Linked DNA regions of Drosophila melanogaster. The protein of the gene in region 1 interacts with the protein of each later gene in a pairwise test. Each region holds a gene or a part of one and is shown in the gene's direction. Other genes may lie near its edges.

Evidence for each region. The genes of interacting proteins can lie anywhere in the genome.
Region 2: the proteins of CG9130 (region 1) and ppl interact in a two-hybrid assay, tested with the Drosophila melanogaster proteins (one large-scale study listed by BioGRID).

The regions. Positions count from the first base shown.
Region 1 is NT_037436.4:1,250,060-1,256,516, forward strand, and holds CG9130 (uncharacterized protein), read left to right. Parts: upstream 1-1,952; 5' UTR 1,953-2,107; coding exon 2,108-3,173; intron 3,174-3,244; coding exon 3,245-3,664; intron 3,665-3,793; exon of another isoform or gene 3,794-3,934; intron 3,935-4,016; coding exon 4,017-4,084; 3' UTR 4,085-4,165; coding exon of another isoform or gene 4,166-4,265; exon of another isoform or gene 4,266-4,307; coding exon of another isoform or gene 4,308-4,985; intron 4,986-5,428; coding exon of another isoform or gene 5,429-5,680; 3' UTR 5,681-5,927; downstream 5,928-6,457. Other genes in the region: Sac1 phosphatase, read left to right, coding at 1-10; Bfc (booster for Crq), read left to right, coding at 818-1,573; CG9133 (uncharacterized protein), read left to right, coding at 4,166-4,265, 4,339-4,985, 5,429-5,680.
Region 2 is NT_037436.4:21,279,991-21,283,334, reverse strand, and holds ppl (pumpless), read left to right. Parts: upstream 1-1,828; 5' UTR 1,829-2,032; coding exon 2,033-2,150; intron 2,151-2,205; coding exon 2,206-2,484; intron 2,485-2,545; coding exon 2,546-2,646; 3' UTR 2,647-2,844; downstream 2,845-3,344. Other genes in the region: CG12974 (uncharacterized protein), read left to right, coding at 1-189, 681-754, 817-1,132. UniProt on the Drosophila melanogaster protein: The glycine cleavage system catalyzes the degradation of glycine. The H protein shuttles the methylamine group of glycine from the P protein to the T protein.

The DNA.
Region 1 (6,457 bases):
AGACCCATGACGTTAGTGTCGTCTAGCAGAGTCACTGGGAACTACCTCTGCAGCTAAACTGTCCCATTGCTCCGAGAAAGAACAATTGTAAACCAATTCTGTAATCGATTCGACTTCCTCTCAATTTCTGTTTTGTTTTATTCTGTTTTTGTTTAGTCTTAAAGCCCCCCCCAGTCCATTCCCTTCTGCAACTTGTTAGTCATTATATACACAGATCACTTACACTTAGGCGAGCTTCAGGCGGCTGGAAAAGGGGAATGATTGGGGTTTCGATCGGGAAGAAGTGGAGTTGTGAAGGCGCCGCTTATTAACTGCGATTAACTGCAATGTAGATCAATCACTTTTGTAGAACCATTTAATGACATTAAATAAAGTATTTTACGCATTGCTAGAAAACCTCAGACCGGCGTCTTTCTATCTACTTGTGGAGGTGAAATGTAATTAATGATATGGGTATATGGCGTTTATGACAACCATAAAAGATGGCCAGTAAAGGTTAAGAGTACAGGTTACCCAGAGGGTGTTAATCATATAAAGAATGTCATTGTTGATATTTTAGTAGGAATGCAGAGCTCTTAGCTTTTTATTTATATATTTTGAATCGTAGGCAGGCCTTTTACATTCAGTCGCATAGATCCATTTCGAAAATCAGTCTTTCCTTTTCGGCACGTCGTCAAAATCTGAATTCAAAATTCAACATATTTATTTTTCGTCAAAATTAGGTTTCAGTGACTGAAAATTTCTAAAAACGTTTTCAACACATAACAAATTCTTTGGTATAGTAATTTTGTCAAATTTCTAGTTTTTAAGCTTTTATATGAGAATGGACAAGTCGGAGAAACGCTCTAATCTTGCTGATAACTTCCTGTATATGTTGGAGTTCATGGTGGACGATCTGCTGATCACTCGTCCCAACCTCTGCGCTCCGGAGGAGTATCCCACTTGCACGGAGATCACGTTCCGTTCGGTTTTCCTGAACATCCGCGATCGGGAGAACGGAAGCTGTGTCAACCCCTGTTCGCCCAAGTGCGGCAAGTGCACCCTCTTCACGCTGGAATCGCCGATCACGGACGAGGACGTGATGCACATTCACGTTTACAAGAAGCGCACGGAGAGCTGCAAGTTCCTGCTCGGGCTGACCGAGCTGCCGATGAAGCCGATCTTCGATAGGGTGAAGAAGGAGTTCTATTCACAGAACATAAACTGGGAGAGTAACGTCGAGTCCCATTTGTCGCGAATGCCCAAGCTGAGGGGCCCCTGCAAGAAGGCCAATGACTGTGTGTGCTACGAGAGGAATAGGGAGCGGCGCGAACAGTGGTGTCCCACCTCAGAGCTGACCAAGCGGATGCTGCCGCTCTTCAACCTCTGCAAAATGCAGACGGGCAATATAGTGCTGATCCTGAGACTGGTGTGCAATGGGCCCTCTGTGGTATCCTCCTTCCCCGTCCAGAGACCAGTGTGCAAGGATCCCTGCAACTGTTGCTGTCCTTGCCCGCCCACTTGGCCTGCTCCCTGTTCGTCGCCATTCGATCCCTGCGATCCTTGCAAGACCGTGCCAGCCAAGAAGACATGAGTAGGAAATGCAGCTGCGAGCCTTTATATTCCGTACTCATTTAGTTGCCATAAGCATTTTTATTGTTTGACAAGGGATGCGCCTAGCAACTGATAATCATTCGCATATCTTAACTATAAATAAAGTATTTGAATAATTTTTATACCAATTCTGGTGTTTCAGTGACTTGAGGAGGCTATTGTCCATTATAATATAATTTAATATTAAAATTTATATATATGTTAGAAATAAGACCTTACTAGGCATTTTAGGCGTAATAAAATCTACATACAGACAGACTCATCTGCCTAAAAGACAATCTTAATATCGAAAATCAAGGAATCAAGTTTTCAAAATTCATCCGATTCCAGTAGCCCTCGCAAATCCAGTCGGTTTAGCAGTTCGAACACCACAGTCTCCCCGTCTGGACGGCCATTCAAAATCAGAATCTAAATTCAAATTTACTCACAAAATTTTTGGAAGTGCGAGTGTTCGGGCATATAAATTTCTAGTTTCGACAAAACAAAAGCCTAGCCAAAATTATTTCCTTTGAAAATGGACAAGTCTGATAAAACTGAGAAAACTGAGAAATCCGATAAGTCTGAGAAGCCAGAGAAACCTCCCAAGATTGCAGGAAACTTCCTCTACATGTTCGAGTTCGTAGTGGACGATCTGCTGATCACACGCCAGAATCTTTGCGCTCCGGAGGAGTATCCAACCTGCACAGAGATCACGTTCCGCTCGTCGGTTTACGTGAATCTCTGCGATCGGGAGGTGGGCACGTGTGTTAACCCCTGTTCGCCCAAGTGCGGCAAGTGCGCCCTCTTCACTCTGGACTCCCCCATTACGGACAAGGATGTGCTGCAGGTGCATGTCTATAAGAAGCGCACGGAGAGCTGCAAGTTCCTGATAGGACTGTCGGAGCTAAAGGTGAAGCCCATCTTCGACAGGGTGAAGGAGTCCTTTGACATCGAGAATCCTGACTGGGAAGACGCCATGCTGGGGCACATCGCCCAGCTGCCCAAGATGAAGGGTCCCACCAGCAAGGGCCTCCTGGACAACTGTGCCTGCTACGAGAAGCTGAACGAACGTCACGAGCAGTGGTGTCCCACATCGGAGTTGTCCAAGCGACTGCTGCCCCTCTTCAATCTCTGCAAGATGCAGACTGGCAACATAGTGCTGATCCTTAGATTGGTGTGCAATGGTCCGACCATTGTGTCCACGTTCCCCTTCAGCAAGGTCTGCTCCCGCAATCCCAAGTGCCCGGAGCCCTGCTGCGGTCCTTGTGGCCCCTGTGGTCCCTGCGGCCCCTGCCCACCACCTCCCAGCTGCGGCTCGTGCCCACCGCCTCCTAGCTGTGGCCCACCATGTCCTCCACCCTGCGACCCCTGCGATCCGTGCGATCCCTGCAGTCCCTGCTGTGGCGGCGGAACTGCCACCGGCGGGCCCATGGATAAGAAGGGCTGCAAGGGCTCGTGTGCCCAGCCTCCTTGTCGTCGCTGTACAATGGTGGATCCTTGTGCCAAGCGAGTTGAGCCTCCGGCAAAGTGCCTCAGGTACTACTCGTGCAATCTGGACAAGCTCTGTCCCTGTGACTACTGCGAGGACGAGTTCGATAGAGGTGACTATAATCTATCATCAGCATATATAAATGCTTCCTTTTAATGATGTAATGTATATACTTCTTCCCAGAATGCCCCACTGTTCCCACAAAGCGTTGCAATCTCTCGCCGATCGAACAAAAGCTGCAGAAATGCGGTCCCTGCGGCGGAATTCCACCGTACCCACGCTTCATCCAGGAGAAGATGCAGGCCGAGCTCTTGAACAAACCGGAAAAGGATCCCAAGAAGGACAAGGATGGCAAAAAGGGTGGCAAGGATGGAAAGGACGCAAAGGATGGAAAGGGTGGCAAGGACGACAAGGGCAAGAAGAAGCGTCAGGCTGGAGGTGCTGTTTGCCGCGTAGGAGACGAGAATAGTCCGTCCGCCGTCTACGAAGACTGCGATCCTGTCTGCGCAGGAGTCCTCCAGGCGACCAAGAAAATTCGGTACAAGGAGCCCACTGTCAGGTGCAACGGACGGGAGGAGGAGTACGAAATGGCCTGTGATGAAGGTGAGCTCATATATGTATGTATTTAGAAAACGATTTCAACTGGGATTTCGAGAATGCCAAGTAGGCTTCGAAATGAACAACAACACAAACGTCTCGTAACTCCAGCGAAACATTTAGTAACATCTAGTAGTCGGGGTGTAGAAGATCACTCGTTTAGCATTTGTTTTATACATTCGAACGGGAAATGTTGTCTGCCGCACAAAATACAGAAAAATAAAATCTTTCGTTGTTGTTACCCGAGTTTTGGATGGAAATTAAAACAGAGAATCAGTACGTCCGAACTATTTTTTTTCCTATCAAGTTAAAAAATTTTCGAAGCGATCCACTAACCCAAATTCAATTTTCATTTCAGCGCGAAAACGAGCTGTGCGGAAATTGCGCCACTTACTGGTGAAGTACAATATCCAAATTGAGAATTGAAGGCTTTCGGAATTGAGATTTCAGCTTGAGCCTAGTGAATAATTGTATTGACTTACACACTCAATCACTCAACCGCACAACATGGCCAAGAAGAGGGGAAGAAAGGGCAAGAAGGGCAAGAAGCCAAAGGTCGACTGCAAGTTCAAGATCACCAATGAGATGCTCAAGCCCATGAACGAGAGTAAGTACACGCGGATCCCTGCACCGAAGCTCGGGCTTAAGGATGATTCATCCCTTCCAATTGGTATCCTCAGATGTGGACGACTGTGATGGCTGCTGTCAGTGCGCCTGCGATTGCGACTGCAGTCCGGAGTTGGCTCCCTGCTTCATCCAGCCGACCAAGCCGGATCCGGGTCCGGAGGCGTACGACGAGTTCGAGGCCTGCCTCAATGGCAGCGGTCTGACCATACGCGTACTCAAGAACACCCACAAGGTGGAGAGCGTGATGGATGGCAGCGAGACTGCGCCCAATCTGGGCGCAGGCGATGATCCCTGCTATCGCGATGACCCCAATGACTGCGAGCCCGCAAAGGAGTCCTGCCTGCACGATATGCTCCAGCGCAGCTCCTTCGCTCGCAACCACATCAAGCGCCGGACCGGCGGCCGCATCATCAACCACCCGAACATCCCCAAGGTGCGAGCCAATATCAAGTACTCTGGGAACGATGCCTGCGAGACCGACAACTACTACGTGCCCTTCTCGAAGATCAAGGAGGCCTGCGACTTCCAGGAGGCCAAGGTCGACTGCTACCGCCAGCGACTCTGCGGCGGATCCGATCCCATCGTGCCCGCGCACTGTCCCGTCCAGAACCAGCGATCATGTTGCATGCAGGTCGAGCGGAAGGACATCATGGACACCATGAAGGGTGTCAATTTGGACACAAGGCGCAAGGGTATCGAGGTGAGTCCATCCTATATTCATTTGCGCAGCACTGAGTGGCCTAAGGAAATCCATATTTCAAGAATGTTCGATCTTAAATCATTAACCACAATCGCCGATCGCCTCCGCATTCCATTTTTTAAGTTCGCCAGTTACGTGTGCGGATGCGGAATGTGGATCGATTGGTAGTCCGTGACTTTGCCCCCCTAAACGTTGTTGCAGGTGGTGCAACTATGCCACTTCTGCCACTTCGGGAAGGCTTTCGATTGCCTCAATTGTGGGGCAGTTGCGTAACATCTGCCAGCTCCAAGTGTGGAGCACTCTTTTCAGTTTGCGGTGGCAATCCGCTACAGCTTTTTTATTTATGGTAATTTCTGCGAAAGATGCAACGCGTTGCATTGAGACTATTTTGGTTAGCTGTTGCATAGTATCTAAAAAGATTTGTCGCTTTTCTTATTTTTCAGGTTTGCTACAAGACCTGCGAGGAGACCGACAGCGACGTGTTCCTAGTAAAACTGGGAAGTAAGGCCAAGTCGCAGCACAAGAAGAATACCATCGAGATCGAGCTGCGGACGCCCAAGCAGCCCGTAACCCTTCCGATCAGCAAGGTGACCACGGAGACCTATGTTTCCGAGGAGATGCTAACCGGTGGCAAGAAGGGGAAGAAGGGCAAGAAGGGCAAGGGCAAGAAGGGCAAGGGCAAGAAGAAGAAGTAGACCAAGAGATCCGTAGGCGGATCCCATTCCCATCGACCGGACTTGACGCTTACCCTTTCGGAACACATCCTTTGGCATTTTGGAAGCGACTCTTTGAAAATTCACAGCAGCAATTATTGAAATTTGGCTCTGGTACTAACCCATTCATATTAACCCGTCCAGTAAGATGCACGAACACTCACTTTTTCGACTAGTTACGTAAATGTATGCTTTTGATTGAATTAAAATTAAGAAAAAAAAAAACAATAATTCTAGTCCCATTTATGATTAGTTGATCTGATCCCTCACTGATTGATCTGATGTAGATACCCTAACCCGCAGTAATCTGCTTGCAAGTGTATATGCCCATCTTCATTAAGGGCACTTAACTGCCCAGTCAAGGCCGCGGAGGTGTTTCATCTGCAATTGAGGCGGGTCTAAAAATAGCCGACAAAACCAATTCGCGATGCAGAACTCTGATGCCGATCCGATCCGATCCGACCATCTTCATCTATTGCACACCTGTAATTAAAAGCCAGAAATCTTCGCGGGAGGGAGCATCGAGGAGGAGGAAAAGCCGCCGTTGGATGCAGCGGCAGCTTAGCGGTTTGGTCACTTTGCAGTGACTATACTATACGGAGAGGGAGAGATCCGAGAGACCAGAGATCGCAGATCGGGCCAGCTGACCGATCCGATCGGTGGCTCGGAGAGGAGTCGAGCGAGGAACTCGTTTTAGTCGCGTTCAAACGCTTTAGTCTGTAAGTTAACACGGCGAGTGCGAACGCAGGAAAGAGTCGA
Region 2 (3,344 bases), about 20 Mb from region 1:
TATAATGCCAATAGTATCAATGCTGGTGTCATCTATCCCTTGGCTGCCACCTTGATCGCCGGAGGAGTGGCTGCCATTTCCATGATGGTCATCTCCTTCAAGGGATTCGTTCTGTGGTTCATTAACTTTGGACTGCTCGCATACCTTGTCGCGAGAGCCATTCGAATTTCCACCGATAAGGACAATGTGGTAAGTTGTGGTCAGGTCGGCGAGTGAGCTCATCGCCCACCAATGCTGAGTGACTTCTTCGTTGTCTCCGCTGATTCCATAAATTTTCGACACTGCCTTTGAAAATATTCCAACAACGTAGAAGTTAAAAATCGCCGGGCAGCGACTACGACATGGCTAAACTTAGCACTTTGTCGCCATTAACTCAATGTGGTGGTGGTAATTGCTGATAAGCTGGTTTCCAATTTGGCACCAGGTTTGCCTGATAGCGGGCTCTTGGCTTTTCGGTTTGGTTTGACCGAGCACGCTGGAAAATGACGACTTACTGGGCCTTAGGTGCGGGGGTTCTTTGCAAGGACAGTTCGCTTGAACTGAGGTGTTCTTAACTCAGTGTACACTTAAAGTATCCTTAAAAAGCCTCAAATATCTTCCTTAATATAAATTAATTACAAAATCTTGAATGAGCTATAGCTATCTTGCCTAAAATCAAACAAACATGCCCTTTTCCACAGGATACTTTGTTCAATCCTCGCAAGGATTCCAATGATATTCTGACCACCAGGACCCCGATTCGCGCCTACGAGGAGTAAGTATAACGATTCACACATCCTTAATGTCTTGAAAATAATTCTCGATTTGTATGGACAGGGTGGAGGTCCAGGCGTATAACAATGCCGCCTACGTTCCGGAAACCCGTTCCATGGCCGAGACCATCCAGGTGAACGAGGGAGCCATCGTGCGGGCGGCGCACTTGTCGATGGACTCGAACCTAATGGATCGTCGCTTCAGGGACCTCAACGCGTACCAGCAGTACCCGCCTCCGAATCCGCAGCAAAGTCGCCCGCTGAAGCAATCTTCGCAGAATCCCATGGAGACCATTGTGGTGGCCACCTCGGGATTCCCCGTGCCGGACTACTCCCCGCAGCCCAGTCCCAATGGCGTTCTGCGCCACAACCAGTACTAGATTACTAAGCCCCTTGGCGCCCCCAAAAAAGCCCTCTTCGATACTATAATTCTCAAATAATCCCAGCTAAAGTTTAGTTCAAATTTTATCAGGGGGGGCAACTTCTTCTGCGTTTTTATTCTTATTTATTTGCATGTTTATAACGATATAAGTGTACAGCTGTAAATATATAAAGCCGTTCTAGTTCCGCAGTGGAATGGTATTTGTTTATATATGCTAATTTGTTTTTTTTTTTTTTTTTTGTAGAGCTGATAAGGAAATAAATCGGCCCCCAGCAACGATTAATTGGGAGTAGATAAGAAATACAGGAGGAGCATCGACGTGTTGTCGGAAATTAAGATGACTGCTTTAATCTTTAGTCTGATCTCAACATTTAGAAGAGATAAAAGTAAAGCACCTGTTTGAAAAATACATTATGTATGTTTGATTTCTTTACATTTTTTAATATTTCAAATAGAAGCAACCATTTTGACAACTTATGTAATTGAAGTATTTTTGTGGTGCACTATTTTCTAATTAAATCGAAAGTGCGAAAGCTCAAATTTAATTATAAGAAATACAGTCCACCAATAAACTAAATAAATCTTGAAGTTTTCAATCTGCCCGCCGAAATGTTGGGCAGTGCGATAACCGGTAATCTATTATCGCTATCGATATGCATGCCTTACGCCATTTTTAGGCACATTTTGAAGAAGCCGCTGTTTACTCGGGTCAACAAAAGTTCACGAATTATATTCTGGATTGTGATAAGCCGGGCAATATTCGACTTTCATCCCGATTGCCGGGCATTAAACGTAGCGTGTGTGTTTTCAAATCGGATCACTTGTCACCGAAACACCCCCGGGAACGGTTGGAAAATTCATCTCGCCGGCAGTTGCCTTTGTTTTTGACTGGGAAAATATGGTATTCATAACGAAATTCGCAAGGATTGGGCTGCAGGCCGCCCGCCAGCTTAGTGTCACGCCCCTTGGCGCCGTCCAGGCTCGCGCCATTCACCTGACAAGCCTTCTAGCCAAAGGTAAGGCAATTGTTTATGCAATAGCCACTGAATCTCAAACTGTAATCCCCGCCAGAACGCCGATACACAAACAAACACGAGTGGGTGGAGGTGGTATCCGGCAGCAATGCCATAGTAGGCATCTCCAGCTACGCCCAGGAGGCTCTCGGGGATGTGGTGTTCGCCCAACTCCCAGAACCCGGCACGGAACTCAAGCAGGATGACGAATGTGGGGCCCTGGAGAGCGTTAAAGCGGCTAGCGAGGTGTATTCACCCGTTAGTGGCAAGGTAATTGAAAAGAATGCCGAGGTGGAGGACACACCGGCCCTAGTCAACAGCAGTTGCTATGAGAAGGGTAAGATTTGCGTGAAGACCCCTTTTTAACTTCACTTGAAACACGTACTTTTCTTTTACAGGCTGGCTTTTCAAGGTGGACCTGAAGAATCCCAAGGAACTCGAAGCCCTTATGACCGAGGATCAGTACAAAGCCTTCCTGAGCAGCAGTGGGGATCACTAGAACCAGCAGCTAATCCTAACCCTAAAGCATCTTGACTGTAGCCTTTAAAACGAGTAATTGTTAGCATTTGTTATCAGCTGAATAACGCTACACTCATACCCAAATATCACCAACCAAACTCATCGCCATACACACGTTGTTGTAGCTCTTGAAATTTGTTACGAATAAGAATCAACAATAAATCCAAATGTTATATTTAAATTGGGCATCTTGACCTGCGGGTGGCAGACGTCGTCTGCTCCCCCATGGAAACCTTCTAGGTGATAAGACCAAAAGACCGAAGAGAAAACGTGTTGAGAGTTGCTCAAAGATAAGAAGTCACTCAACAGAAGATTAAGAGAGCGGACAAGGCACTCAGTTTCATAATAATACAGATCAGCTTAATACGGCGTGCTTGGCTGGAATTAAGAAAAAACATTTAACACTGTTGCTTGGACACGCGATGGCGCACGCCACGGCACTCAGCCATCACCTGATGGATTCGATGATGGACCGATGACACACCTACCTCTCTGGAAAGTTACGCCGTGCTCTGGCGATAAGGATGTCCAAGTCGCGCCTTGAAAATACATATGCCCGATCAAGTTGATAAGCCTTACAAAAAGCGCCGCCCATGTCTCATTGAACTTGAAGAGCGTGTTCGCGGAAGCTTTTCCATTCGGAAAGCTATGGCAACGGAGGCGAAAAGCTTGGCAGTA